2 linked regions of the Astyanax mexicanus genome follow. The protein of the gene in region 1 purifies or fractionates together with the protein of each later gene. This does not show direct contact. Links are inferred from orthologs where the notes say so. Each region holds a gene or a part of one and is shown in the gene's direction. Other genes may lie near its edges.

The links.
Region 2: the proteins of katnip (region 1) and serine/threonine-protein kinase ICK purify together in Homo sapiens (affinity purification with mass spectrometry; 3 studies listed by BioGRID and IntAct, with this or other methods). This does not show direct contact. The link is inferred for Astyanax mexicanus from reciprocal best matches to the Homo sapiens genes KATNIP and CILK1.

The regions. Positions count from the first base shown.
Region 1 is NC_064413.1:56,171,335-56,187,443, reverse strand, and holds the start of katnip (katanin-interacting protein), read left to right. Parts: upstream 1-8,619; 5' UTR 8,620-8,698; coding exon 8,699-8,705; intron 8,706-9,381; coding exon 9,382-9,425; intron 9,426-13,318; coding exon 13,319-13,404; intron 13,405-15,446; coding exon 15,447-15,637; intron 15,638-16,109. Other genes in the region: dcun1d3 (DCN1-like protein 3), read left to right, coding at 1,333-1,766, 5,201-5,732. UniProt on the Homo sapiens protein: May influence the stability of microtubules (MT), possibly through interaction with the MT-severing katanin complex.
Region 2 is NC_064432.1:26,206,765-26,221,934, reverse strand, and holds the start of serine/threonine-protein kinase ICK, read left to right. Parts: upstream 1-7,043; 5' UTR 7,044-7,726; intron 7,727-8,860; 5' UTR 8,861-8,977; coding exon 8,978-9,078; intron 9,079-10,788; coding exon 10,789-10,843; intron 10,844-11,343; coding exon 11,344-11,465; intron 11,466-11,869; coding exon 11,870-11,949; intron 11,950-12,103; coding exon 12,104-12,236; intron 12,237-13,325; coding exon 13,326-13,497; intron 13,498-14,175; coding exon 14,176-14,343; intron 14,344-14,921; coding exon 14,922-15,170. Other genes in the region: interferon-induced protein with tetratricopeptide repeats 5, read left to right, coding at 123-187, 302-516, 1,942-2,183, 3,007-3,132, 3,222-3,366, 3,472-3,504, 3,962-4,000, 5,122-5,363.

The DNA.
Region 1 (16,109 bases):
GTGCTCCTGATGGTGTATCGGGTGCTTTTGAAGGGTTTCCCAATTCCTAGGGGGATGATTTCAGGGGTTGCACAAAAAACAAGTGTTAGGGGTAAGTGGTAGGACCAATAGGTAAAATGGGATTGGACTCAAATGTAATGTACTCATTGGGTTGTGAATCACCGAGCATCATCATGACATCATGATACTGTGATTCTGCAATACTCAATATATCACAAGTCAATTCTCTACGATACTTCCCGCCCTCCGCCATAGGTCTGTAACTCTGACTAAGCATTGCGTAACAGGGTACGGGAGTTTTGCGAATCTGACTCATAGACTCAAAGAGAAATGTAACAAATCACTGCTGTAGGTGTTTTAATGTGATGTCTGGTCTGATGTCACATTCCTGTAATACTGATTCACAGATACTCTATAGAAGAGTCACTAATACAAACGAACAAACAGATCCCATCAAAAGAAGAGTCACATTGATGATTCTGATTCTCTCTCTTTCTCTGTTTCTTTGATTCTGACTATGATTCTCTGTCAGATTCTGATTCTATCTTTATAATTCTTTACTGTATGATTCTGATTCTGAATTTTTTATTCTCTTTGATTCTAAATTTCTGATTTTGACTCTGATTCTGACTCTCTGATCTCTGATTAAAATTCTGATCATCTCTTTTTCTTTCATTGTGAATTTCTGATTTTTGACTCTCTGTTTCTCTCTCTTTCTCTCTGATTATTGAGTCATTGATTCTGATTCGTTCTCTCTGATTCTGTGATTGATACACTTTCTCTCTGTGATTCTCTCATTCTTACTCTGAGAGTCTGATTTCTCTCTCTGATTCTGATTTTTTGATTATTGACTCTTTGATTCTTATTTCTCTCTTTCTCTGATTCTGAATTTCTGATTTTTGATTCTCTCCCTGATTTTTAATTTTTGATTCTTGACTTTGATTCTAATTCTCTTTCTTTGATTCTGTGATTCTGACTCTCTCTCTCTCTGAATTTGTGATTTTTGACTCTTTTATTCTGATTCTTTCTGATTCTTTGATTTGATTTGATTTCTCTCTCTGAATCTGAATTTTTGTTTCTTGAGTCTTTGATTCTGATTCTGTCTGTCTCTCTCTCTCTCTCTCTCTCTCTCTCTCTCTCTCTCTCTCTCTCTCTGTGATTCTTCACTCTCTGATTTTGAATTTCTGACTCTCTGATTCTGTCTCTGATTGGTCAGGGCATGGTGACTGCTGTCCAGTGGCTGGAGGAGCAGCGGCGTCTAGCCTGAGGAGGAGAGTCGGGAGGAAGCGCGAGAGCAGGAGAGGAAAAGAGAGAGAGGGGCACGAGTGCACCATGGGCCAGTGCGTGACTAAATGTAAAAACCCCACATCCTCTCTGGGCAGCAAAAGTGGTGAAAAGGATGCTGGGAAGTCACATGGTAAAAAGGGAGGCGGAGGAGGAGGCGGGACCGGCAGCCATAAAGACGAGTCCAAATTCCCCGCTGATGTCAACGGCACAAAGTCACCGGAGGTTACTGTGGAAACCTCTGTAGCTCCGCCCCAATCACCAGGGAGCGTGCGCAGGGCGGAGCCTGAGCAGGAAGGGGAGGGGCTGTCTCTGGCTCGGATAGAGGAGATGTTCATGAGGTATAAAGACGAGCACGAGGACGCTATTCTGGAAGAGGGAATGGAGCGGTTCTGTAATGATCTGCACGTCGACCCGGCGGAGTTTAAAGTCCTGGTTCTGGCGTGGAAGTTTCAGGCTGCTACCATGTGCAAGTTTACAAGGTAAAAAATAAATATATAAGAAATGTAATTATTTCACTTCAACATAACACAAAATATATGTTGTACTGATAATAATAATACACTACAGGAAGTGTAGGGGGCGCTTTATAATGCACTATAATGTTCATATGATCCACACACGCTCATTCTGACAGACTATAATACACTACAGGAAGCGTAGGGGGCGCTCTATAATGCTCTATAATGTTCATATGATCCACAACACTCATTCTGACAGACTATAATACACTACAGGAAGCATAGGGGGTGCTCTATAATGCTCTATAACAGTGTTTCTCAACCAGGGTGCCGCGGCACCCTGGGGTGCCGTCTGGCTTCATCGGGGGTGCCGTCAAAATATTGCGCATCACGTGCATATTTCCTTTCCAGAGTCAGCTCGTGTCGGGGTGTGTCCCAATTCACAGGCAGCATACTCTGGAGGATGCGACCCACAGAGATAGGCGGTGTATTACTGCGCAGCTGTGACGCAATGTCTTCGAATACAGCCTCCGAAGGATGCGGCCCCTAAATTGGGACACACTGTAAAGTTTGTCCCCCACGCGATGCACTGCGAGAGTAGTGTAAAGCGCTCAAGCTCGCATGGAACGTTTTTTTTAAAAGAAGATTGCAGATTCAGATAACTCTGAATCAGAGCCATTAACTTCTTCATCCAGTGGTAGTTCAGCAGTGAGTGTAGCAGAGTATTTCACTCGTTTGAAAAGTCTGAAGGTTTCGCGCTAATTGTAAATAACCCCCCACCCCCCCTTCTCACCTGAAATAAAATATTCCGCCAGCAACTCTCCTCGTTCTCACCTGAAGTATTGCGCCAGCAACCCCCCCCCAACCCCCCCCCCCGCCCCCATTTGTAAACTGGGGGCGGGGGGATTTTGCATAATTTTAAATGGAGTCGTGATAGAAAAAAGGTTGAGAAACGCTGCTCTATAATGTTCATATGGTCCACAACACGCTCATTCTTACAGACTGTAATACACTACAGGAAGTGTAGGGGGAGCTCTATAATGCTCTATAATGTTCATATGATCCACACGCTCATTCTGACAGACTGTAATACACTACAGGAAGTGTAGGGGGCGCTCTATAATGCTCTATAATGTTCATATGATCCACAACACGCTCATTCTGACAGACTGTAATACACTACAGGAAGTGTAGGGGGCGCTCTATAATGCTCAATAATGTTCATATGATCCACACGCTCATTCTGACAGACTGTAATACACTACAGGAAGCATAGGGGGCGCTCTATAATGTTCATATGATCCACACGCTCATTCTGACAGACTGTAATACACTACAGGAAGTGTAGGGGGCGCTCTATAATGTTCATATGATCCACACGTTCATTCTGACAGACTGTAATACACTACAGGAAGCATAGGGGGCGCTCTATAATGCTCATATGATCCACACGTTCATTCTGACAGACTGTAATACACTACAGGAAGTGTACGGGGCGCTCTGTAATGCTCTATAATGTTCATATGATCCACACGCTCATTCTGACAGACTGTAATACACTACAGGAAGTGTAGGGGGCGCTCTATAATGCTCTATAATGTTCATATGATCCACACGCTCATTCTGACAGACTGTAATACACTACAGGAAGTGTAGGGGGCGCTCTATAATGCTCAATAATGTTCATATGATCCACAACACGCTCATTCTGACAGACTGTAATACACTACAGGAAGTGTAGGGGGAGCTCTATAATGCTCAATAATGTTCATATGATCCACACGCTCATTCTGACAGACTGTAATACACTACAGGAAGCATAGGGGGCGCTCTATAATGTTCATATGATCCACACGCTCATTCTGACAGACTGTAATACACTACAGGAAGTGTAGGGGGCGCTCTATAATGTTCATATGATCCACACGTTCATTCTGACAGACTGTAATACACTACAGGAAGCATAGGGGGCGCCCTATAATGCTCATATGATCCACACGTTCATTCTGACAGACTGTAATACACTACAGGAAGTGTAGGGGGCGCTCTGTAATGCTCTATAATGTTCATATGATCCACACGCTCATTCTGACAGACTGTAATACACTACAGGAAGTGTAGGGGGCGCTCTGTAATGCTCTATAATGTTCATATGATCCACACGCTCATTCTGACAGACTGTAATACACTACAGGAAGTGTAGGGGGCGCTCTGTAATGCTCTATAATGTTCATATGATCCACACGCTCATTCTGACAGACTGTAATACACTACAGGAAGTGTAGGGGGCGCTCTATAATGCTCTATAATGTTCATATGATCCACACGCTCATTCTGACAGACTGTAATACACTACAGGAAGTGTAGGGGGCGCTCTATCATGATCATGTTACTTTAAGTTGCACTAATTACTGACACAGATGTGCAAATGCACATGTAGACAGTAGGACTCCAGTATGTTGGTAAACAGTGAGTGTCAGTGTGAACTCTCTCTTTCTCTCTGTTATCTGAGATAAAGTTCTTCTGTTCAGAGATCAGTGATCTAACTGAAATCTCAGGAAGTGGTCACAACTTCTGCTCTGCAGCCAAAATGTGTGTTTGTGTGTTTGTGTGTTTGTGTGTGTGCGTTTGTGTGTGCGTTTGTTGCTGAGGTGTTAAGACCATCTCTCTGTCTGTATCTCTTTCTCTCTCTCTCTCTCACTCTCTCTCTCTGTCTGTATCTCTCTCTGACTGGTTTCTCTCTTTCTCTCTCTCTGTCTGTATCTCTTTCTCTCTCTCTCTCTCACTCTCTCTCTCTGTCTGTATCTCTCTCTGACTGGTTTCTCTCTTTCTCTCTCTCTGTCTGTATCTCTTTCTCTCTCTCTCTCTCACTCTCTCTCTCTGTCTGTATCTCTCTCTGACTGGTTTCTCTCTTTCTCTCTGTCTCTCTATCTCTCTCTCTCTCTCACTCTCTCTCTGTATTGGTCTCTCTCTCTCTCTCTCTCTCTCTCTCTCTCTCTCGCTCTGTATATCTCTGCCTCTCTCTCGCTCTGTATATCTCTATCTCTCTCTCTTTATTTGTATCTCTCTCTATCTGTATCTCTCTCTATCTCTCTTTGTATCTCTCTGTGTCTTTTACATTAATTGTAATTATCAACTTTTCAAAAGCAATTATAGAATAAATAATAAACACAGACACAATAAACACAAGTTTAACACCATTTTACATACAAAAGTAATTTGTATATGTCTTTATTTATCTATACATGGACACACAGAAAATACACATAATTAATTTCCACTGATGTGTTTAAATGATGCTTTTAAATAAATAAATCAGAAAATGATATGTTAGTACTGTATTTTAGAAGATAAGCAGTAATAATAGTATGATAGGTGTGTTATCAGTTATTTATTATTGATAGAGAGTAGTAATGAGCTGATGTCTCTCTGTGTGTGTGTGTGTTTGTGTGTAGGAGGGAGTTTGTGGAGGGCTGCCGGGCGATCCAGGCCGACAGTCTGCAGGGGATCTGTCTGCGGTTCCCGGTGCTGCTGGAGGAGTCCCGCGGCGAGGAGAGCTTTAAGGACCTGTACCGCTTCACCTTCCAGTTCGGGCTGGACGCGGACGAGGGCCAGCGCTCGCTGCAGCACTCCATCGCCATTGCGCTGTGGAGGCTGGTCTTCACGCTGGACACGCCCCCCGTCCTGGAGCGCTGGCTCCACTTCCTGTCGGATAACCCGTACGGCGTGCGCGGGATCTCACGCGACACCTGGAACATGTTTCTGAACTTCACGCAGAGCATCGGGCCCGACCTCGGCAACTACAGCGAGGACGAGGCGTGGCCCAGCCTCTTCGACTCCTTCGTGGAGTGGGAGACGGAGAGGAGGCGCCGGGAGAGGGAGGAGCAGGAGGAGAGGAGGAGAAACCAGGAGGAGGAGGAGCTGCATCAGCGGCGGGACACCGAGACAGACGCCATCACAGACTGCAGCCTCGACGGGGCGGCGTGACGGGAGACGGGCGGAGGACGGGGGCGTGACTGATGCTCTGAGGGTGGATGCTAGTATTACCCAAGACCCTTACTTTCCGTTCTGGTCTGGTGGTGATGATGATGATGATGATGATGATGATTTCTATTTTCAGGCTCTTCTTATTGGGATGGGCTTCCCCGTTTCCCCTGAACTGTTTATTTTATTGCTGAAAGGGCTCCAAAAAACTCAAATTGTGTTTTTAAGCACTTCTATTTAAGTTATTGTTTTATTTTGTAATTTTCATTTTGGTATTTTTAAGAGGTCTGCCCCTCTATCACACCCCCACAGTGGGTTTCCTCCTGGATCAGACACCAATCGCACCTCCTTACCCCCTCTAAACAGCGACGATGCAACTCCTTCACCTCCACCCTCGTTATATAACCCCACCCCCCCACCCGCCGCAGCAGCAGAGCGCTGTAGCCGACCTGCGTCAGGCTGACGGAGGGAGCGAGAGAACGAGAGATCAGGGCTTTCTGCTTTTAAACGGTTAACTGTAGCAGCTGGTTTTAGAGTCGCTGGTTATTACTGGTTATTATGACATAAAACACACACACACACACACACCCCTCAGCTCCCGGTGATGCCGGTTATTCTGCGGTCAGGTTTGTCTGCTGTGATTTATTTTTGCGGTTTACAGTTTTTCATTCTCCGTGGTTTCATTTCAGATTCCTTTTGTCTGGTTTTATATAAAATGCTACAATTTATAACGAATAAAATGTGTGAGATTGGGCAGTGACCACGCAAACCAGCTCTGTTCATTTATTTGTGTTTTATAGTGTGAAGTATCAGAGACCTCCAGTGAAAAAATGCAGCACTTTTTTTACATTGTCTTTAACTTTTATATAATTGCATATTGACACACATACCCAACATATACTGTGTTTTATCTGCTCAACTTTTCAACATTTCTAAGCTAAAGCTAAGCTAAACAAACAAAACTGTAATTCCTAAAAAAAATGTCAAACGAGCGCTGGATGATAATCTACACAGGTTTCTCTCCTGAAAACTGATTATTGAGGTGAGTAAAGCACTTCTGTTTATTTACAATAAGCTGAGATTTACAGATTTCCACTAAGGCTGGGTGCAGCAGCATTAGCAACTACAGGACAGAGAATCAGACAAAAGACTTAACATACAACACAGAACCTCCAGTGATGAACAGAGTAAAAAACTCCCTCAGAGCTGGAGGTGCAGAAAACACTGGGTGATTCACATGTATTAACAAGGCTAATACAGGTGCAATTAGAATATTATTGAAAAGCTACTTTATTTCACTAATTCAGCTGAAAATGTGAAACTCATATATTATTTCTTTATTGTGGATAATGATGGCAATTAAAACCCAAAAATCAGAGTCTCAGAAAATTAGAAAATTATATAAGACCAATTGGTACTTTCTGCAGTGTGAGCAGTGTGCCAAGTCCTGCTGGAAAATGAAATCTGCATCTCCATAAAAGTTGTTTTCAGCAGAGGGAAGCTGTAAGATATGAAGTGCTGTAAGATTTTGTGGGAAAACAAAACTGCACTGACTTTAGACTTGATAATAAAACACAGTGGATCAACACCAGCAGATGACAGACATGACTCTCCAAACCATCACTGATCATCAGTACATTTTACATTTCATTTAAAGAAACTCAAGGGAGCAGAGTCTGGAGGAAGAGTGGAGAGACACACAGTCCAAACTGCTCGAGGTCTAGTGTGAAGTTTCCACCAATCAGTGATCAGCCTTAATGAGTGGTTTAATGGGACGAAATGTATGTAAAACTTTAGTTTGAGAAGATTTTGAGAAGAACTGAAACTTAATCCTAAAATCAAACATCAATAAAAAAAATTGACAAATACATGCAGGACTATGTAGAAGTAATAGTCCCCAAAGACAAGGTTTTAAATTGTTCAGGTTTGTTTATACCAGATATGTTTGAAAACAGTAAAGTCTACAAGGCTTTTAGCACAAGATTCATTGAATACACCAGCTTACCTTTTTCGTTCTTCATCTGAAATGGAAAAGAAGTCTGAGAAGGTGTAAACATTTGTGCTAAAAATAAAATAATATCTGTAACACCCAGGTTATTTTTCAAGCTGAATGCAGCTGAGATAGCATTTCAGCATCTTAGAATCAGGTCATATTTATTTAGCATTGTTTTTTTAACAGATTAGAATGAGTTAATCAAAGAGTCTTTAGTATCTGCTTGTCTAGAGGAGCCATTTCCTCACACTCTGTCTATTTTTCCAGGTTTATTGCATACACAAAACACAAGATCCAAATCATACTACCTCATCTGTTAAACATGGTGGTGGAAGTATTGGAACTCATGCAACTGCATTGGAACTCATGAACTCACGTTCATTCTTAAACATCTGACTTCTATGAAAACATTTAATGAGGCTAAGGTCTGAACTCTAGGGTGAGGAGGGTTTGGTTTTTCCAGTTTTACTGCTTTAAATTTTCCAAAAATGATAAAAGTAAGTTAGTTTTTACTGCACAGCCAATAATAACTATCCCTTCTTGAGGGTGTGTTCTTTTCCTCCTCACTCCCTACATAGTGCACTACATAATCAACAAAATAGCAACTGACTGACTCATTGTACTACATGCATGCTAATACATGCTGCACAATTATATCTTCTATTGCAGTGCTAGTAATGTTTTAACACTATTTAGTGCACTATTCAGTCTGCAGAAGCATTTACAATACGCCCTACGCTTGTGCACTATGTAGTGCACTTGGAAAGGTTTGAGATGTACCCAAACAGTAAGTGGTCTCCGCCTGGATACACAGGTTACGCCTTTTCCGATTGGTCGGTGTCCATGCATGTTTATGAGAGTGGGCGTGCCCACGGTGTATGCTGCTTTCTGATTGGACCGTGGTCCTCCTAGTTACCGTCTCCATCTGTCCACAACAGAAGTCGCGTGCGGAGCGCCGTTTGGAGGATAAGATGTGATGGACTGTGAGTGAACGGTTTTCAATAACGAGTAGATTTAATCTAAAATCGATTATAACGTATGATAATTGATTATTGATTGATATAGATAGGTATAGGCGGTTGTTTGGAGTCGGTGTGCTGCGTTGTAAAGCTGTTGAAGTAGGCCAACAGCTGCAATTGGGCTATGTTTTTGCAATTGTCCGTTCCACCTTAAATGGGGCAGCAGTTGCATTCTGGTGCTTCAGAATGCCTGAGACGCCAGAATGCAGCAACTACTGCCCATTTAAGGTGGAACGGACAATTCCAAAAACATATTTTTCAACAAGGCTATATTTTTTATGATAAAAAGCAACTTTTTACTAGAATTTAGTAAAAGAATGTAATAATCCACTTCTTTTGCATTAAAAAGTGTTAAAAAATATATATTTTAGCTTAGCCGGGCCCAGCCTCCAGCCGCGGTGTGTCCTGCCGCTGTAAGCCGGCGTAGGGAGCGCTCTCCGCGGGGAACCTCCCTAGCATCTTCCGCTAACAGCTGGATCGCGGCCGCTGCACTTTTCCTATTTTTTTTTAAAGAAATACTGTAGTAAACTAGAGCTGTTTTACTATAGATTGTATTATTTTTAAGCAGTTTTAAACATTTCAGGCTGCTAACATTTTATTATCACTGCGTTTTCACCCCTTTTCGACCCCCGGGATACAGGGGCAGCTGAACGCCGCTCTCAGAGACTCTCGGCGGGGAGTGAGGTAAGGGAAGCCCCGCGGTAAGCTCCGGAGCTCCGGAGCTTTTGAGATATCTGCTTAGTTTTGTGTGTCAGCTTTAAAATCCAATAAATTTGCCTCAGTAACATTGTTGTGAGCATGTGTATATGTTTTTTTTTTTTGCTGTTAAGAGTTTATGCAACAGTTTTATTCACATAGTCTCTATATGCACACAGAGGGCACTTTATTTTTCTTAAATTTTTTTTAAAACAAAAAAAAAATCCTTATTTCAAGATATGTTTCTGATATTAAATCAAACAAAAGACTGGCACATTAAAGGAAAAAGCCAATAGGACTTTACAAAACAGAGAAACCCCTGACAACCCCCTGCAAGACCTGGCAGACCATCCAACACCAAGTTTAACTCTTCTGTTTTAACAAGACAACACAATGCAAAACAATGTGTTTATTAAAGTAGGCAAAGACAACAACAATGAACAATAAACAATGTGGAGACAATACATCCACAACAATGGACTCCCCACACTAGAGTTCAGACCTCTGCGTCATTAAATGTTCGTATAGAGGTCAAGAATGAACTTGAGTTCATGAGTTATGGAAGAATTTCTCTGCAGATTTCAGAATACTTCCACCACCACGTTTAACAGATGAGGTGGTATTTTATTTGAAACGCCTTAAATGGTGCAGCTTGGAGACATCCTCTGTGATAAACTGAGGAATACTTCCACCACCATGTTTAACAGAAGTGTTGGTATGATTTGGATCCCTGTATAAGAAGAACACGTCCAACACCATGGTTTACAGATGAGGTGGTGTGCTTTGGAACTTGGGCAGAATGTGAGGTTAACTCTCTCTCTCTGCATATTTCTTTAAAAACACTGACAATTAGTCTTCTAAAAATAATGGAAACTCTAATAAAGTTTATAATAGTTGGATTCATTAAACACTCAAATATCGTATGTTAAAGTTAGCTGTTAAGGCTTCTTAGTCATTTGTTTAATAAGGGTTTCTGCTTTTTCTACCTGACATTGCAGAACTTGTACTAATTGACTGGAAATGAAACAAATAATTGTTTTATATTGGAAATTTTGATTACGTTTTACACGAGATTAAAAAAACAAGTAGGCCACAAACAATTACAATTATTTACAATGTAAATAAATGCATGCATTCATGATCTGTGTATGTAATGCTGCAATAACAATTGTTTTTATTATAAAATTAACTATACAGTGTATGGTTGATGTGACGGTGTGTTATATCTTTGGACTGTCACTGAAGGAAGTACGGAGGACAGCTGAGGAGCAGAACCCATGCTCGTGTTAAAAATTTCATATGTTAGTGAAGTAATGACTCTGGAGGTTCTGTACTGAGCAGCTGCAGTGGAGCTTCTGAATCCATCCTGTATCTTTCAGTACAGGAGCTTTAGTGTGTTACAGTCTGATTATGGTGTAAAATAAAACCCTGCAGCTCCACAATAGCTGGGATTCCTCTCAAATATTATATTTAGTTAAGAAATTAGAGAGAAAATGAGAAATAAGCCGTGTTTCCATCCAATACTGTTACATAGATAAACTATAGACAACACTGGTGACCGTAATTAGTAGAGTCATTGAAAAGAGCAGATAGATGAGATTCAATCTGACCTGATTTTAGCAGAATCATTTTCAGAAACAGTTACAACAGTTATATTTTATTGGGTGAGTCATCCACCGCACATCAGAATGTATATAGCAGAATGTATATAGCATCCTTTAAAAATTGGTTTTATATTGTAGTTTAGGGCAATATAAATTGAGTATAGGGGATGAAAAGGAAGTATAGGCTAGTATAGAGTAGTTTAAGGACCATATGTAAGTATAGGACAGTTTAGAGTAGTGTAGGGAGTATTAGATAGTGTAGGGCAGTGTAAAGAAGTGAACGATAGAATTACAGAGTAGCGTGTGGCATAAGAGAGTATAGTAAGTATAGGGGATGAAAAGGAAGTATAAGCTAGTATAGAGTAGTTTAAGTAGCATATGGTAGTATAGGGTAATATTAGAGTATAGTGAGTATAAGACAGTATAGAGTAGTATAGGGAGTACCAGATAGTGTAGGGCAGTGTAGAGAATATAGGATAGAATTATAGACTATTGTGTAGTAAAGGGAATGAATAGGAAATATTGGCTAGTATAGTGTAGTTTAAGGAGCATATGGTAGTGTAGGGTAATATATGAGTATAGTTAGTATAGAGTATAGTGAGTATAGGGAACGAATAGGAAGTATAGGGTACTGTATAGTAGTATTAGGGAGCACAGGGCAGTATAGTGAGTATAGGGAACGAATAGGAAGTATAGGGTGCTGTATAGTAGTATTAGGGAGCACAGGGCATTATAGTGAGTATAGGGAACGAATAGGAAGTATAGGGAGCTGTATAGTAGTATTAGGGAGCACAGGGCAGTATAGTGAGTATAGGGAACGAATAGGAAGTATAGGGTGCTGTATAGTAGTATTAGGGAGCACAGGGCAGTATAGGGTAATATAGAAGAGTATAGTGAGTATAGAGTAGTATACAGAGCATAGGGTAGTATAAAATATTGTGAGTTAGTAGTATAGGTATAGAGAATGTATAGAGAGTATATTGTACTATGAGAGGAATATAGATTGTGTAGGGTAGTGTACAGGGGTATAATATAGTATTGGATAGAATAGAGGAGCATAGGGTAGTATAGGGAGTATAGTTTTTATAGGGTAGTGTTAAGGATTATAGGGTAGTATTAGGGAGTTAAGGGTATTACAAGTTTGTAAGAGGTAAATATAGATTTTGTAGAGTAGAATACAGAGGTATAATGTAGTTTTGGGTAGTATAGGGAGTATAGTTTTTTTATAGGGTATGGTAGAGGATTATGTAGTATATAGTACTATGAGGGAATATAGATTTTGTAGGGTTATATGTAGGTGTATAAGGGAGTATTGGGGTAGTTTAGAGGAGTATAGGGTAGTATTGGGGAGTTTATTGTATTTTAAGTTTGTAAGAGGGGAATATAGATTGTTTAGGGTACTATACAGGGTTATAACATAGTATTGGTAGTATAGCGGAGTATAGGGTAGTAATAGTAAGTAGTGTAGGGTAGTATAGGGAGTATAGTTTTTTATAGGGTAGTATAGAGGAGTATAGGGTAGTATTAGGGAGTTTAGGGTGCTATTAGTTTGTAAGGGGTAATGTGAACGTATAGGGAGTATGTAGTAGTATTATGAGGGAATATAAATTGTGTAAGGTTGTATACAGCGCTATAAGGGAGTATTGGTGTAGTATAGAGGAGTATAGGGTAGTATTGGGGAGTTTAGATTACTGAAAGTTTGTAAGGGGCAGTTTTACTAGACGTTGTTCTAAAGGATTCCATATCCAGTAGAGTAAATACAGAGAATTTCAGTGTTTTTTCTCTTTCTCTCTTTCCTCCTTGCTCAGACTCTTCTTTCCTTCTCTTTTTCTTTTTCCAGAACTCCTGTTCTTCCTCTCTTTTTTTATTTCTGGAGACTTTGGATAACTGATCACCAGCTCTGTAAGCTTCAGAACTTCTGTTTCTCTTTTCTTCCTTTGTTTTATAGCAACATCAGTAATCATTATAAAAAAGGTCTATTTAAAGTCAAAGGAAATGAAAGATACATTATGTTATTTAATTAGCATGTTTCATACTGTCCAAATATCTTATTTTGACTAAACTTCTTATTTTTGGGGGTAAGGAGAAGCTTTGATTGGCTCATGTATCGCTTTAAGAAGATCCTCTGCTTCAATCAAAAGTGTCCATTTTCACTTTATTTAATAGCCCATCCTGTGTGTGTTTACTACAGCTAGTAGTTAATACCTTTTACACCAGGATAAATATAATGTAATACTGAAATGGAACGTGTGTGTGTGTGTGTGTGTGTGTGTTTAGGAGGTGAGGAAAATCGAGGCAGGAAAACAACACTCTGCTGAAGATCACCTGGATGAATATTTAATCAGCCTACAGCACAAAAACAGGTGAAAACACACACACACAGATACACACACACACACACACACAGGTTAGATGACCCAAGAGCTGGTTCAGTGTGACCCCATTTTTAACACTGGTGTGAAGTAGATGGATACTGTTACAGTGGAACACACACACACATCCCTGTGATTGGATAACACTGATAGATCTCAGTGTTACACTGCTTTCACACTAGCAAGCGACAAACTGTCAGACATACCTGTCAAGTCTCCCGTTTTGGCCGGGAAACTACCGTATTTTACTCCTCTTTCCCGCCGTCCTCCCGTATTGGTATTTTCCCGTAAATTTCCCGTATTATACTAAATAAAAAAATATATAGGCCACAGGCGACAATGCACTGACCGCTGTGTGTCTCTTAACCAATCGTGGTGCCGGTTCAAGGAGAAAGTCCCGCCTTTCAGGAGAAACAGCCAATCAGCTAGCTGGTTTTGCGGAGCGCAGTTTAGTGTGCGGGAAGCCCCGCCCCTCCCCTCGCTGTGAGTTCAGGCAGCTAGTCGGAGCAGCTGTCGTTAAAATTAATCTGGATATACGGAGATTTTTCTAAAAGAAAGGTAATTAACCATGTAAACTGTGATGAGATTGTTTCTGATAGCTGGTTAAAAAGACTCTTCTCTGAATCAAAACATAAATTAAACCCACTGTGTGTTTAATAAAATACAGCTTGTGACTCAGTTAGCTTAACTTTAGAATTAGCTAGATAGATATTCAGGGTTTGAGAAAAATCTACATATATATATAATGCCCTGCCCTGATGTGCCTGATCAGCCAATAACTATCATTTCCAAACTCTATTAGTTCAGGGCTAGTTTTAGGGTTTGTTAGAATTTGTTTAAATCTCAAGTATTGTGGTAATGTATTATAATGTAATGTAATGTATTATTTAGAAGGGGTAGAAGAGATGGTTGAGCTGGAGAGAGAGAAAATGTGGAGAGGGCTGAAATTAACTGAACTGATCAGGAGTGGACTGAACGATAGAAAGAAGTATTAATGAAAGATTATTAATTGTGTAGGCCCCTTAGGACTATTATTTACTTATGGAATATATCTGATCCATGTCCTTTTTGTAAATTTGTGCACCCTTCAATTTCAATTTTAAATCTATTAAATAAATAAAAAAATATATATATATATATATATTAAAAAATATATATATATATATATATATATATATATATATATATATATATATATATATATATTTTTTTTTTTTTTTTTCCTCGTTTGGGCTGTTGGGGCGGCGGAAAAAATCCCTTATTTTTAAGTCCAAAACTTGACAGGTATGCTGTCAGATGACCAGTCATTTCCTATGGAGATATGACAATTTAGATTTTCTCTATTTTGTGCAAATTACTTATGATACAGCTATTAAGAGAGTGTATGAAAATATCGATATAGTTTTAGAATATTTAGTTTTACAATACTCTATCCCTTTTCAACGATAGTACAGTACAGTAAATGAGAAATGGCTGAAATAACAAAAAAGATGCAGAGCTTTCAGACCTCAAAGTTCATACTGATAAGGTTTTAAGAGTTCAGAAATCAATATTTGGTGGAATAACCCTGGTTTTTAATCACAATTTTTTCATGCATCATGTTCTCTTCCACCAGTCTTACACTCTGCTCCTCCGACACATGAAGTCAGACTCTTTTTTAACTGCTGCTGATGCGGCAGCATTGCCGAGTAGCATCACAGCGCTAACGCTCGGAGGAAAGCACAGCGACTCGGTTCTGATACATCAGCTCACAGACGCAGCCTTGTGCTGATCCACATCACCCTAGGAGTGATGAGGGGAAGAGAGTGCGCCATCTACTGTACTGTACCCTCTGGCTCCGGCAGCTGATGGCAAGCTGCTTGACTGGGATTCGAATCAGCGAGCTCCCGATCATAGTGGCAGCACTTAAGACCACTGGATCAATTGGCGCCCCATTAGTTTACCATCTTCTAACATATCTCTCTCTTTCTTTCCCTCTCTCTCTCTCTTTCTCTCTCTCTCTGTATCACTCTCTCTCTTTCTCTCTCTCTCAGAGCGTTGAAGAAGCTGCAGGTTAAGGACCCAAAGCAGTCTGAGTTGGAGCAGTTGGAGCAGGGCTTCACCCTCTACCTCAACGGCGCTAATGCTAATGCTAATGTGGCTAAGATCAGTCGCCCCAGCAGGAGACCTGCCCAGAGATACCTTATCAACCCCTCACCAGCACACAGAAACACACACACCGCAGGTACCAACACATTCCAATATCACACACAACTATTATACAAATATATTTTTCTATATATACACAGTAGTTCGGGGTGGTATCATCGAGTGTACCCGAGGGAAATTAAAACTGGCATGCATTTTTCAAATAATGCCACCATGTTATGTTGACATAACAAGCTAACACACTGGTTGCTCAGCTCTGTGAAGTCAAACACTCATGTTGCTCCATCCTACCTGGAGAAAAATGAAAACAGCACTTTATCTGAGGAGCTCCTGCTGCTGTTCCTCATCGTACCTCAGTGTTTTTATCGGAATAAAATAGAAAAACAATAGCAAACAGCAATTATTCACTCAGAAAATAGACAAATGGAATTGCGCAATCAATCCAAAGCTCTGAGAAAAGTTCCTCTCGTCCCCCAGATGAGCCCAGAATCTGTCCTGAATACAGAATCATTTATTCAGCATTTTCTAAAGTGATAAAACTTCCTAAA
Region 2 (15,170 bases), on another chromosome or scaffold:
ACCGGATTATAAGAAGCTCTGATGATTTTTGGGAAAATTAAAAGAGTTTAAGTGCATCTTATATTGAGAAAATACTGTACTGTATATCTGTATAGAGCTTAATCATGTTTTAATGTTCACAGGAGACAGAAAGTGAAAATAAATTTACACCAGAAGTGATAACTGAGGAGGGCCAATTGAAGTACAGGTAATGTGCAATATGATCATCATAAATATCATAAAATTGAGTAAAAATTAACAGTGGAGTGATTTTGCTTGAGATCACAGAAAAAAGACTCACTTTGAGATTTTCGCTCTGCAGGTTTCTGTGCAAACATGCCGGATGGTTCCATTGTTCTTTCACCAGGCTGGGATTCAGAATGAATGGAGAAGGAGAGGTGGTGTACAGAACTGTGGACGAGGACAGCAGCTGCTCAGCTTCACCCAATCAGTATTCAGCAGGTCCTCTGTACGATATCACATGTGTCGGGGGTCAGCTCTCTCATCTTCAGCTCCCCCACTGCGAGATCTCCCCAGGTAAATTATTAATCCAGATTAGTGCTGGTCGATATGACCAAAATTTATATTGCGATATATTCCTTAATTTCGGTCGATGCGATATAATTTCGATATCAATATTACTTTGGCCTCAGAAAAACTGCTAAGAATGAATCAGATTAGATGTATTCATAGTAGTCATAATATAAATAATATATTATACAGCAAAATCCACAGTTAATCCTGCAAAAACACACACACTACTGTTGGCTACTATCTTTCATCAGCTTTCTCACCATTAAATTTTAATTCGTATTTTTCAGGATCTCTCCCACAGGAATCATTTGTTATTTAAGTCTAAATAAATAGAAAATAACAATGTAAGTGAAAATCCCTGTAGATAAATAAGGCTTTTGTCCCTCAACTCATCCACATATTTTGACTTTGTGACTACAATATTAAATGTTAAGGCTAATGTCTTTTAAAAAGCTTGGATGTTGTTCATTTTCAAAGTAGCCTAATAAAAAGATACTAAAAGCCTAATAACTAATTCCTGACCAGGTCTACTGAAGCTTATGAAGCATGTTTTGCAGCTACTCAAAAAAGGCAGTATACGTCTTGAAGGAGCTTTCGACACCAACCTTAAACACGGACAGCGGTATAACAGCATTTAAGGCGGAATCGTAAATTAGCCGAATTTAAGGTGGGATAGCAAATTCATGTGAGTTATTTATGTAGGGAACAGTGTGTTTTAAGTGCATATTTAAGAAAGCTAAGTAGATATAAAGCTAATCACACGTAATGCTGTAGCGTGAGCAGCTCACGCACCTTAACTTAGACACACCTGATCTATAATGATCCAGCAGCAGCAGGTAAACGAGAGGAATATAATATTATTAATATGAAATGGTATGATCCACTTTAGGGGGGGTTTGAAATCGTATCACAGTATTCTTCCAGACATTAATACTGCCTGTAATTAGTAAAGGATATTTAAATGTTTTGACCCCCCCAAACTATTGTTTTTACCCCTTTAGAGTGGCTTGAAGTCTTAATCGGGGGGTCTGATCCCCCCCAATACCCCCCGTAATTTGCACCCTGCTTGTGTATTGCCATCAGAGGCACTAATTTGGCATCTAAAATGTCCTGTGCTAGAGCCTAGCATAGCTTAGCTTAGCTTATCCTAGCCTGTGTGATTACGTCATCACGCACTGACGTAGCCCCGCTACGGAGGCTGATTGTGTTCAGCTCTGCTTGAATGCAGCGAACTGACAAGTAAAAAACGCCTGTCCATGACAGATTCTCTAAATAATACATATTAAAATACTGAAAAAATGATATAATCGTTATTGAAACATTTCTTATCGTAATAAACACCATTATCAAATTATTGTCCTAATCCAGATCAATGTAATTGGATTGGAGGACTGTGCTTGATTTTATTTTGTTTTAATTTCCCTGCAGATGACTGTCGCTTCATGACTGTGGAGCATTACACTGAAGGGAAGGTGGAGGTCCTGAAAGCTGATTATATCACACACACTCATGTGAGCGTGAGGGTTCCAGGACTGTCACTGTTTCAGCTGAAATACATGCTGAACTGGTTTAAAGGTAAAATCAGGGGACAGCTGATACTGACATATTACCCTCTACCCAAACACCGGCTGCACGTGTTCCTACGGCCTCATAACACAGACCTGCACAAGGTAAGGTCCTTAAAGATCATTCATTCCATTAAAAAAAATACTGTTTCATTAAACAAGAAATTACATGTATAAATGTGCACACAAAATACATTTTATTGTTAAGCATAGTGTATTGTACATTGGCCTAATTGTAAAAGTAAGATATGTAATTAAAATATTAATAAAAAATAATTATAACACTGAAAAATAGCATTTGTTACCCATTCTCCCCACTCTTTAACTATAAACTTTACCATGAAATATAATTATAATTTTTGTAATTATTTTTTTAATTGTTCTGTGACTCCAAAACAGGAAGTGACATCATCAGCTGGTTCTTCTGAAGATCATGGGAAGACCAGAATTAAATTCCCTCATTAGTTTTTCTGCATATTTGATCTTATTGTAACAGAAAATCTCTAGAATGTGCTCAGTGTCCTCATGCTATTAGCATAGCCGCCATTTAGCTATTTTTCATGTTTTTGATAATTCTACGCTAAAAACTCATTCCTGTTACTTTCAGTCCTGCTACTTATAACATCAAAAGTAACAGGAGTGAGTTCTAGTAACAGGAGTGTTTTTTTTTGTCTTAAATATCAATTATTTGAACATGCAGTCGACCATTTATTTAAAATAAAGACTTTATTAAGAGAAAATGAGGAATTAGTGAACTTGCTTTTACACATGCTTTTTAAATGTTTTAATTTTTTATCAACATTAGGTTAATTCCATTTCTAGCCCATGCTAAGACATTTATACATTTGTATTCTACCTGAAAGAGCTAGTTATAACTGTACACAACTCTTGGTTTTGAGCTGAAATAATGCAAATAAATGTTTTGCAGCTACTCAAAAAAGGCAGTATACGTCTTGAAGGAGCTTTCGACACCAACCTTAAACACGGACACCGGTACAACCTGACCTGTGAAGATGTAGAACAACAGGAAAGGCAGCAGAAAATACAAGACAGTGTGAGTAGGGAGACTATGAACTCCCAAAACCAGATTAACATCTGTATAACGTGCTGAATGTGTACCTTTTCCTATATCGCTGCATAAAGGACGGTCTTTTCCTGAGACACATCTTCACCGACAACCCAACGTTTGTGATCCACCTGGAAAGAAACACAATGAACATAAAGTTACATCTAAAGGAGAAAGGCACCGATAAAATGGTCTGGGGATATGATTTACCAGACCTTAGAGGTGAGACCATCCATAAATCAGATATATTTTACAGGTGTATATATGTATTTAAATACTAGCTGTATGTAAATTAATGAATTTCTCATTGTTTTTGTTTCTCTCCAGAATATCAGGACAGAAGCACTTCATCCGATGAAAGTAAGGAACGTTTTTAAAAAATTAACTGTAATAGTACCATATTATTCGCACTATAAGGCGCACTATCAGTGAATGTCTATTTTGTGGTCTATTTGCACATGTAATATACATCGGATTATAAGAGACAACTAAGTTAAGTAAAGTTAAGCTAAGTAAACAAAACTGTAAACGAGTGCTGGATGTTAATCTACACAGATTTCTCTCCTGAAAACTGTTTATTTGGGTAATTAAAGCATTTGGGTTTATTTACAGTAGGCTTAGGTTATCGAATTTCTCCAGCACTAAGGCTGGAGCATTAGCATTAGCGGCTAACTGCTAGCCACCCGACAGCGCTACACTAAAGAACCCTGATCTTAGACCACCTGAAACCAGCAAACTATGGTCTTTACATTACTGAAAACATAATCTGAGAGTAAATGCTAATCTTTTACCTGTTTTCCTTTCTCACCTCTCTCAGGTTATCAGAGAAAGATCACTACACCGGATAAAAAGAAATGTATGTATCCTTTTTTTATTTGGATCTCCATTTATTTTGTTGTTTCCAATCAGAATATCTACAGATGCAGAAATCTGATGCTGATATCTGCTGAAAGACAGTTAATTGTGCAATATGAAGATGTTTGTTGAGCCTTTATTTGGGAATTATGATGCTAAGAAGAATTTTCCTTGGAACTTCCAAAGGAAGTCTTTTAAATTTTTGGACAAAACATTAAATATTTTGGGTTCACACTGACTGCAGTCAATTAAAATTCTATATACTGTTTTTTTCGCACTATAAGATGCACTTAAAATCCTTAAATTGTCCCACAAATCATCAGTGCGGTGTTATAGTTTAGTTCTATAGTTTAGCTCTCCCGCACCAAGACTGGAGGCTGGAGCAGTATTAGCATTATCTGCTTACTGTGCTGGTATTAGGGGCCTGTAGCCTGCTCCTAACCCCGACTAGCACTGCTGGAGCAGCATTAGCATTACCCGCTAACCACAGTGCTAGTGCTAGTTAGCTCTTTTGCCATTCAAAGGTGAGTATTATGTAGCCTGCTCCTAACTCCGACTAGCACTGGTGGAGAAGCATTAGCATTACCTGCTAACCGCGCTAACAACTAGTTAGCTCTTTCTCCATTCAGACGTGAGTATAACGGACTGTGGTTTGCGCTTTTGCCATGTTGAAACAAGCTATTTAGTATGAACCCCTAGCTAATATCACCCTAGCTTACCGGAACACATTTAGAGTTTCTTAGTGTAGGGCAGTTGGGTGACATTTACTAGCACTAACAGTTAGCCGCTAATGCTAATGCTAATGCTGCTGCACCCAGCCGTAGTGTAAATCTGGAAATCTAAGCTTACTGTAAATAAAGAGAAGCGCTTTACTCACCCAAATAAACAGTTTTCAGGAAAGAAATCTTTGTAGATAAATTTATAATCTGTTGCGCCTTGTGTATAAAAACTGATCAGATAATAGACGTTTATTGATGGTGCTCCTTATAGTACGAAAAATACGGTAATGTTGGGTGATGTTGGGTTGTAGGGAAACTAAGGAGCGTTTCTGAAATGCGGTTTTAGTGCTTCTTTCTTGTCTGAATAAATATTTACTAACTCTGATTTTGTGTTTCCTTGCAGGCATGGACTTCTTTCTCGGGAATTGGGATGAACTGGTCCAAAAGGTCACCAATGTGGACGCCATTCTGGATCGCCTGGTTCGATTCATTTGTTCAGAAAACATAAATGAGATCAGAAACCAGAGCACTCCACAGGCCAAAACCAGGGCTCTACTTAATTTAGTGGGGAAAACTCTGTCACCACAGGAACTCTATCGAAGTCTAGCAGATGTTCATCCAGACCTGGTGAAGGACATGCTGTGAAATAAACAGAGACTGACCAGGACCATGTGATTAGTCGTGAACATAGACTTTCTACGAGCCTTAACCCTGGAATTCCACCTACGGTTCAGAGAAAGCCTCTCTGATGTTGAGGCTTAAAGGAGAACTCCGGTGTAAAATTGACTTTGGGTGTAGTAAAACATGATGAAGAGTACTAACCCGTCTCCTATTTCCGGCAGCTTTCCGAGATCCAGCAATTTTATTCTGTTTGTCCAAATACCCTTTAGAATGGGTCTTAATGGGGCATATTTTGCCCCTGCAGAAAAATGTCACTTTTAACACCGTTATCCAGCTCAAAGTAGCTCCACACCTCATTGATAGAATCCAGAGAGCCCTGACACTTAAAACGAGGCATTAAAATAGGAATCTGCCAAAGTCAGAGCTCACCTGACTACCTGACTAAAGGGAATGATGAGCAAGTTGTATAAAACATTGAGAAACGTTCTTATAACATTCAGTTAACTAAAAAAACTAAAACAGTGTAGAAATTACATTTGTTCGCACTTTACCGAGGAATTGTTTAAATTTAACACCAGCTTTTTCATTATTTCTTCTGAAATCAAGAGAATTCAAGAGTTTATGATGCTTTTGTTGGAATAACTGTCTCTACTGTAACAATGCAATGTTAAACTGTTTTTGTACTAATTGTTGTATATCTTGTAAATTGTAAAGAATGTGAATGAAAACATATAGAGTGATTAAATCACTATTTATTTTATTTACTGTAATACTGTAATGTTATTTATTATTTAATCGGAGATGTTGTAATACCGAGTTTGTCCACAGGAGGGCAGAAATTTAAATATTATTTATATTTAAGGAGAGATGCTGTAATACTGAGTTTGTCCACAGGAGGGCAGAATAATTATTTAATTTATTTAATTAAAAATTGCTGCAATACTGAGTTTGTCCAGAGGAGATATGAAATGAAAATATTATTTACTATTTAATCAGAGATGCTGTAATACTGAGTTTGTCCACAGGAGGGCAGAAATTTTAATATTATTTATTATTTAATCAGAGATGCTTTAATACTGAGTTTGTCCACAGGAGGGCAGAAATCTAAATATTATTTATTATTTAATCAGAGATGCTGTAATACTGAGTTTGTCCACAGGAGGGCAGAAATATTAAGTCTAAGTGAGGATAGGACCATCTAATAAATAAATGAAGGAATGTGGAAATAAATAAATAAATGTAAAAATATAAAGGTAGAAATACATTAATCAACAAACAAATAAATAAAAATGTATTTATTAATTAATTTATTATCGGTTCTATGTAGGGAGCATGTGTGCGGATTGGAGCGCGCCCAGGGTTGTTAGCGCCTGCAGGGAGCATGTGAGCGGATTGGAGCGCGCCCGCAGTGTTGTTAGCGGCTATAGAGAGCAAGTGTGTGGACTGGAGCACGCATGCAGTGTTCTTAGAAGCTGTAGGTAGCGTGTGTGTGGATTGGAACGCGCCCGCTGTGTTGTTAGCGACTTTAGGGAGCGTGCGTGCAGATTTGAACGCGCCCGCAGTGTTGTTAGGGGCTATAGAGAGCGTGTGTGCGGATTGGAGCACGCCCGCAGAATTGTTACCGGCTGCAGGGAGCGTATGTGCGGATTGGAGCGCCCGCAGTGTTTTTAACGGCTGTAAGGAGTGTGTGAGCGGATTGGAGCGCGCCTGCAGTGTTTTTAACGGCTGTAGGGAGCATGTGCGCGGATTGGAGCGCGCCCCAGTTTTGTTACCGGCTGCAGGGAGCGTATGTGTGGATTGGAGCGCGTCCGCAGTGTTTTTAACGGCTGTAGGGAGTGTGTGAGCGGATTGGAGCGCGTCCGCAGTGTTTTTAACGGCTGTAGGGAGTGTGTGAGCGGATTGGAGCGCGCCCGCAGTGTTTTTAACGGCTGTAGGCAGTGTGTGAGCGGATTGGAGCGCGCCCGCAGTGTTTTTAACGGCTGTAGGGAGTGTGTGAGCGAATTGGAGCGCGCCCGCAGTGTTATTGCAGGCTGTAGGGAGCGTATGTGCGGATTGGAGCGCGCCCACAGTGTTATTGGAGGCTGTAGGGAGCGTATGTGCGGATTGGGGCGCGCCCGCAGTGTTTTAACGGCTGTAGGGAGTGTGTGAGAGGATTGGAGCGCGTCCTCAGTGTTTTTAACGGCTGTAGGGAGTGTGTGAGAGGATTGGAGCGCGCCCGCAGTGTTTTTAACGGCTGTAGGGAGTGTGTGAGAGGATTGGAGCGCGTCCGCAGTGTTGTTAGCTACTGTATGGAGAGTGTGCTGTTGTTAGCCTGAGCTTTAAACCGGGTTTATTAGATTTACACAGAGATCGGACTGTCTGGAATGCGCACTCCTCAGAAAACACAGGTAAACCGGATTAAATAATGCGGATTTAACGGTGATGGTGCAGCTGGTGAGCTGAATTTGATATAAATCGGTGTTTTAAGGAGCTAGGTTAGCTAATTTGCTAGCCTGGTTAATGTTAAATCACTGTAACTGACTCACACTGCGGGTTAACACTAATTAAAACCATTATTGATGAATAATTCGGGCATTTAAAGGGTTTTAAAAGCCGCTGTTTTTCTGTAGACCCTTTTCCTGTTATATATATATATATAACTGTTATATATATATATAATGTTTAGCGTTGGGTGGTGTTTTTGTACTGTTCTCTGTATAAATATAGTAGTTGTAACGTTAGCTGTTATTTGAGTTTATGTGTACAATGTGTACAATCAGTGTAATCGACTTATTTCAGTTGTTTTTATACGTTTTACACTTAAAAGATCTACTTAGCCAGTGCACGTCTTTTAAGCTGGTATTTTACTCTATAACATCTATTAACTACAGGGTAACTAAACCCCTGATTTTAGCTGACTCCACCCTCAGCTCAAAAAAAAAAAATGCCAAAAAAAACACAATACAGGGAACAGTAGTTTGAGAGGGGCACTGGGTGATGTATGGGTTTAGGGGCGTGTCAGAAGACTGATTTGGCTAATGCTGTCCATACACTTCACATAGCACTGGGCGATTTTCACGATTAATTTGGTTAATTTGAATTACAGTTTTAATGTGATTTTCAAAATAGAGTTATAACAAACGTTTTAATCTAAAATATCTGAAAACACGATTCATCCGCGTTTATCCGTCTTGGTTACTGGCGTCTCTCGCATACCAAAACTGTGTGCAAAACTGATTGACATACCGCAAGGGACTTGCAGCTGCAATCGCAGCAAAAGGTGGCGCTACGAAGTATTAACGCAAAGGGGCCGAATAATATTGCACATCCCACTTTTCAGTTTTTTTTTCTTTTCTAAAAAAAGTTTTAAATTTTGTTCCACTTCACGGTTGTGTCCCACTTGTTGATTCTTCACAGAAAATTACATTTTTATATCTTTATGTTTGAAGCCTGAAATGTGGCAAAAGGTTGAAAAGTATTGAATACTTTTGCAAGGCACTGTGTTTTATTTAATAACTTGTTATTAATGTGCTGTGCTGCAGGTGGAGGTAAGCCCGTAGCACCATGAGGCCGGCGCCTCCGCTTCACTGCTGCCGTCACAGGAAAACGTGGCTGCGCTCGGCCGGCTCCTCAGCGGCCGCGTCCGGCCTGGATAAACCATGAACCGCTACTCCGCCCTCCGGCAGCTCGGCGACGGCACCTACGGCTCCGTCATCCTCAGCCGCTGCCTGGAGTCCGGCGAACTCGTCGCCATCAAGAAGTGAGTAAAGCATCCGTCATCTTCCTCTGACTGCGGTTCTCCTGGAGGGAAAGATTTGGTGTATTTATTTCAACACAGATACAGTATAGCAACACCAGAGCAACCACTTAGCACCACCATAGCAACTGCCTGGGATGTGATTAGGGCTATGTCGAGTTTAGTATCGTCGAGTACTTGGCATTACTATTACGTATCACAATACAGGCATTACAATTCAATGCAGTATATTGTGATACTATGAGCAAGTCAATGTATTTTAATTGTTTCACCCCCACCCACTCAAAACCGAGGAAAACAGTTAAACCCTTTAATCAGGCATTTACGTGGCTTTTTAATTGGTAAATAGGAGCGTTTTTCTGGGATTAAAAGCGAAAATGTAGCTGCAACTAGTGCTTCTCAGGCAGCAGCAGCCTGTCACTCATACAGACACAGAGACAGCGCTGTGTATCTACTTCTTGTGTCAAGAATTAATAGATTGCAACATGACGTGTTTGATTTAATTGCCTTATGTGACATTGTACATCCTGCAATCATGCAGCCCACGAATATAATATTATTGCAAAAATACCCTGAAATATCGTAATACTATTTTAGGGCGGTATCGGCCACCCCTATTGAGCAAGTTTCCCAGTGCTTTTGTGCATCATTCTAGGATCCACATAAGATCATAAATGGTAACACAGACACTGGGACAACACACATAACAACCAACCATTCACCGCTTCTCCCCCAATCCCATAAACTCATCAGGAAATGAAACGGCGTAGCCCCTCCCCCTCAGCCCCCGCCTCACTATAGATGATCCCTCTTCATAAATCAATAGATCAGCTGATAACAGACTCATCCTCTCCGATCCTCCACCCACGCTTCCTCCTTCAGCTAAAAATACCCAGCACTATTCCAGCTCTCAGCCGCCTGACAGATGCCTCAGTAATCGGCTGAGTGGGCGGGGTCAGCACCACTTGGCTCTGATTGGTCCACAGCTGTAAAGCCAGCTGTCAGATCACAGCCTGTTCGCTGTTCCACCGCCTGATCCGGACACTTCTGAAGAGCACACGTGCAAATCAGTGATTATACATACACACGGGCTTACTGCAGAGGATCTGGCAACCTTTTTGTTGGCCCAGATTCAACCATCCTATAATTATCACCCAACACAGCATAGAAGCCACCCATTCTATGACCTCTTACACTATCGATTATGTGTTTTTGGGAGTTGATACACTTATTGTGATACTTATTGATTTATCGATATTTTCTTACCCCCCTACGGCTCTTATTCACAGCGGGTATATCAAACTATGTGGGCTGAAACACGGCTGATTCAGAAATGTAGGGTGAGGTAGAGTGAGGCAGAGGGGGCAGGGTGAGGTTGATAGAAGTAAAGCGAGGCAGGGTAAGGTAGTGTGTTAGGTAGAGTGAGGTAGAGGTCCACAGTAAACACACACCAACTAATTTTTTATGCTGGGAAATATAAGCAAGTCAAACCAAGAGCTGAAAATCCTTAAATTCATTTCATTTAAATGAATTTAGCGTATTTTACATCATTTTTTTTTAAATCCTGCAGCATTATCACTCATCACACTGAATTACAGAATACAGAAACACTGTTATTATTCTCTGCTTTTACTGTATAGTGCTGTAGCCTCTTATGGCTTATTATTCTTATTAAAGTTTGTGTGATTTAAGTCCTGTTTTCTCTGTTTTCAGAATGAAGAGGAAGTTTTATTCGTGGGAGGAGTGCATGAATCTGCGAGAGGTGAAGGTAAATAATCAAAATTAGAATATTTTATTCCAGCATATTGTAAATTGGAATTACTATCATATCCCATGATTTTTGCCACGTCACGTGGAGGTTAAGGGACGCTGCACTGACCTGTGGGATGTGTGAACGTGGTCTAATGATTTATTTGTTTCTGCAGCAGCGCAGTGGGAGGAGCAGGTGATTCTTGTGTGTTTTCAGACTGCAGTGCTTCTAGTTCTAAAGTTCCTGCTCTAAATCCTGTCCTGCTATTTTAATCCACCGTACAGAAGCTCAGGATAGCGCAGTCCTGTTACTCTGCACTACAGACTCATGGCCAAACACCAGCCTGAGATCTGAACCTTTGAATCCTGTATTCCTTCTGATGCATGACCTCTACTGAACTCTGGATCTTCTCCTTCGCTTGTCTCGTATCTGTTCTGATATAAATGCGTGGGTTTGGTGAATCTGCAGATGTGTTATAATGATATTAATGATAATAATAATATTTATTTTGGCTCCAGTCCCTGAAGAAACTCAACCATGCCAACGTGATCAAGCTGAAGGAGGTGATCCGAGAACACGACCATCTGTACTTCGTCTTCGAGTACATGAAGGAGAACCTCTACCAGCTGATGAAGGACAGGTAAATATAGGAAAAAGAGGAAATTGTATTGTACACGATATTATGTTGGCGACATTATTGCGTACGATATGATATAGCACACATATAAAGGATAAAGGAAGTTAAAGGAAATATATATATAATATGGTCCTAAAAACGATATCAATATTTTAGAGATTTTTTTTTTTATTATTGTTGGCATATTTAAAAAAAAATGTAAAAAACAAATATGTATTATTATAAATTATATATATATATATATATATATATTTTTTTTTTTTAGAATATGCCAACAATATTAAAAAAAAAATCTCTAAAGTATTGATATCGTTTTTAGGACCATATTACCCACCTCTACCAGAAACTCATATTTGGTGTTTTTTTTTTTATTTTCAGTTTCTAACTTTGTTTTGCTAATATTCCAGGACTCGGCTGTTTCCTGAGTCTGCGGTGAGGAACATCATGTTTCAGATTCTGCAGGGACTCGCCTTCATTCACAAACACGGTAAAATCTGGAGGCTTAACAGAACCGGCAAAACTGTATTGCCAAAATAATTTGCTCTGTTCGAATCCAAATCATTGAACTCTCATGTTCCAGTTTGCCACGTGTGGACAAATTCTCTGATTTCTCGGATTAATTTTTGACACTTTTTCTTCAGGTTTTTTCCACAGAGATCTGAAGCCGGAGAATCTTCTGTGTATGGGTCCAGAGCTGGTGAAGATCGCTGATTTTGGATTGGCTCGAGAGATCCGGTCCCGCCCTCCTTACACCGACTACGTATCCACCAGATGGTGAGCTTAACTTTATATATAATATCACAGCTTTTTAACGGTGTTCTTCTGCTAAAATGCTCTTGTTCTTGTTGTGTGTGAAATACAGTATGTATCTCTGAGTTGTTTATGATGCTGCACAGCCTCTTCCTCGTTGTCTGCAGCAGCTAGTAAAAGAAAATATTCAGAAAAAAAACGAGTCGATCAGGAAAAGCACCGTGTCTACATCAACCCGTGAATTAGTATTCATGGCCCCGCCCACAGCCAGAGCTGAAGCTCTGAAGCTGGGCGGCGACGCCGTCTCGTCAGATAGGAGGAGCTAACAGCGCTAGGAACAGCATGTAGTTCCAGTGAGAGTGTGCTACCCAGTGGAGCACGTTTATACATCTGCGTGCGTGTATCAGTGGCTCTGCATTGCTCTGCAGTTTAAAACCAGAAGGCGGGAACGCGAGACCTGGCGGACCAATCATAGCTGCGGTTGTTTGCATTATGCAACGTGTAGTTAAATTTCTAGAGAGGTGCGCGTCGAGCTCTGGCGTATGGTCTGCAGCGAAGTGTAGGCTACGCCATAGGTTCAATGCAAACGTATAAATGGGCCTTAAGAGTCTCTTAAAGGGACAGTGTACACTTTTCCCTCAGGCCATTTAAATGATCATCCCCCCCAATGTGAGCATGTGTGCAATATTAAACACATTTATGCAGTCATGCATTCTTTATTCCAGTGCCCCACGTTGGCTTTATCCCCCCTCAAACATACAAGTAAATACTAGTATTTTAATTTTAAACACCACTAATGTAAATAAACTCCCCATCTATATGATTCCCTCAAATTGTAGATTTGTATCCTGTTCATACCCAGGAGAGAAAGGGCATTCCTGACTTTGTGAAAATATGTAGAAAAGTTTTTTCATTTAGGCTGTATTATAAGAATTACATATGGATGAATGCCCACAGTATTTCAGTGTCAACAAAGGTAGACCTGTCAGATCATCTGATCGTCTAATTGTAGTTATTTTACATTTATGGTAAACCGGTAATGGTTACTGAACCTTGGTTGGGCTGGTGGGACGGCTCGAATCGAAAAACTTGACAGGTATGCTCGTGTTTCAGGTACAGAGCTCCGGAGGTTCTCCTCAGGTCCACCAGTTACAGCTCCCCTATAGACCAGTGGGCGGTGGGCTGCATTATGGCTGAGCTCTACACCCTCAGGCCTCTGTTCCCGGGCTCCAGTGAAGTGGACACCATCTTCAAAATCTGCCAGGTCCTGGGAACTCCCAAAAAGGTCTGTTAGATCTTGGCCTAATCCCATTTTACCACTTGGTCCTGTCCCGAATCTTGTGGGCTGGAGGACTATGAGAATCACTGGCAAGATGGTGCAGCACAAGCGACCAAAGAAACCCACAAATTTAAGACATTTCCTTGGTAAAAATGAGGGTAACCGGTATTTTATCATAGTTTAATGTGTAGTTTCAATGATTTATGGCCATTTTCTTTATAACAAGCATTAAAATATCACTAGTAGTTTGTCTCAGTAGCTAGATAGCTAGCTGACTTTCCTGGTCTTGTTTCAAATACAGCTCTTTTAGAGTGTGTGTGTGTGAGAGAGACATTTAAAACGAGACAGTAATAACTTCAAAACTGCACAAGAAGCTTTTTAAAAACCACTGTTTACATCCCGTAGCATTAGCTACATCTCTGGGCGCCGCCATCTTTTACCTTTACCTTAGCATAACACTATGGGATGTAAACAGAACTTTAAAACTGCACAAGAAGCTTTTTAAAAACCACTAAGTGCCTCGTTTTTAATGTCAGGATTCCGGAATTTCAGGATCTGGATTCCGGAAAATATGCCCCTTATCAGCCATTGCACGTCATACCCGAGTTGATGCAATTCCAGTTAAAAACAATGATAATTTGACACAATTTCACTAGATTTTAAAAATGTATCTGGGTTGTACAGAACGACTGGGCTGAAGGGTATCACCTGGCCGCCACTATGAGTTTCCGCTGGCCGCAGTGCGTCCCCACCAGCCTCAGGACCCTCATCCCCAACGCCAGCACTGAGGCCATCCAGCTGATGAGAGACCTGCTGCAGTGGGACCCCAAGAAACGACCAGCAGCCAGCCAGGTGATTATTTATATATACATACAGCTCTGGATAAAAAATATTTTCTTTAATTTTACCAAATTGAAAACCTCTGGAATATAATCAAGAGGAAGATGGATGATCACAAACCATCAAACCACCAAACTGAACTGCTTGAATTTTTACACCAGGAGTAAAGCAGCATAAAGTTATCCAAAAGCAGTGTGTAAGACTGGTGGAGGAGGAGAACATGATGCCAAGATGCATGAAAAAAACTGTGATTAAAAACCAACCAGGGTTATTCCACCAAATATTGATTATTTCTGAACTCTTAAAACTTTATGAATATGAACTTGTTTTCTTTGCATTATTTGAGGTCTGAAAGCTCTGCATCTTTTTAGTTATTTCAGTCATTTCTCATTTTCTGTAAATAAATGCTCTAAATGAGAATATTTTTATTTGGAATTTGGGAGAAATGTTGTCTGTAGTTTATAGAATAAAACAACAATGTTCATTTTACTCAAACATAAGAACAGGTATGGCCGGTATCTTGTGGGGGGTTTGAACCCCTGCAGTTTAAGATTTACTAACCTCCAGCTGATGGAGCGGTTTTGTTCCAGGCTCTGCGCTACCCGTACTTCCAGGTGGGTCAGGTGTTGGGAACGCCACAGCAGCTCCAGGAGCAGAGCAGACCTATGCCTCAGCCCCAGCCACCGCCACAGCCCCCGCCACAACCTCAGCAGCCCCCACAGCTCAGGCCCGTTCCCCCTCCTCAACCCCCTCAGCCTCACCTCACCCCGGCACGACCCCTCCAGCAGATCCAGCCTCCACCACCACCTCCACCCGGCCTCGCCTACCTCCAGCAGCAC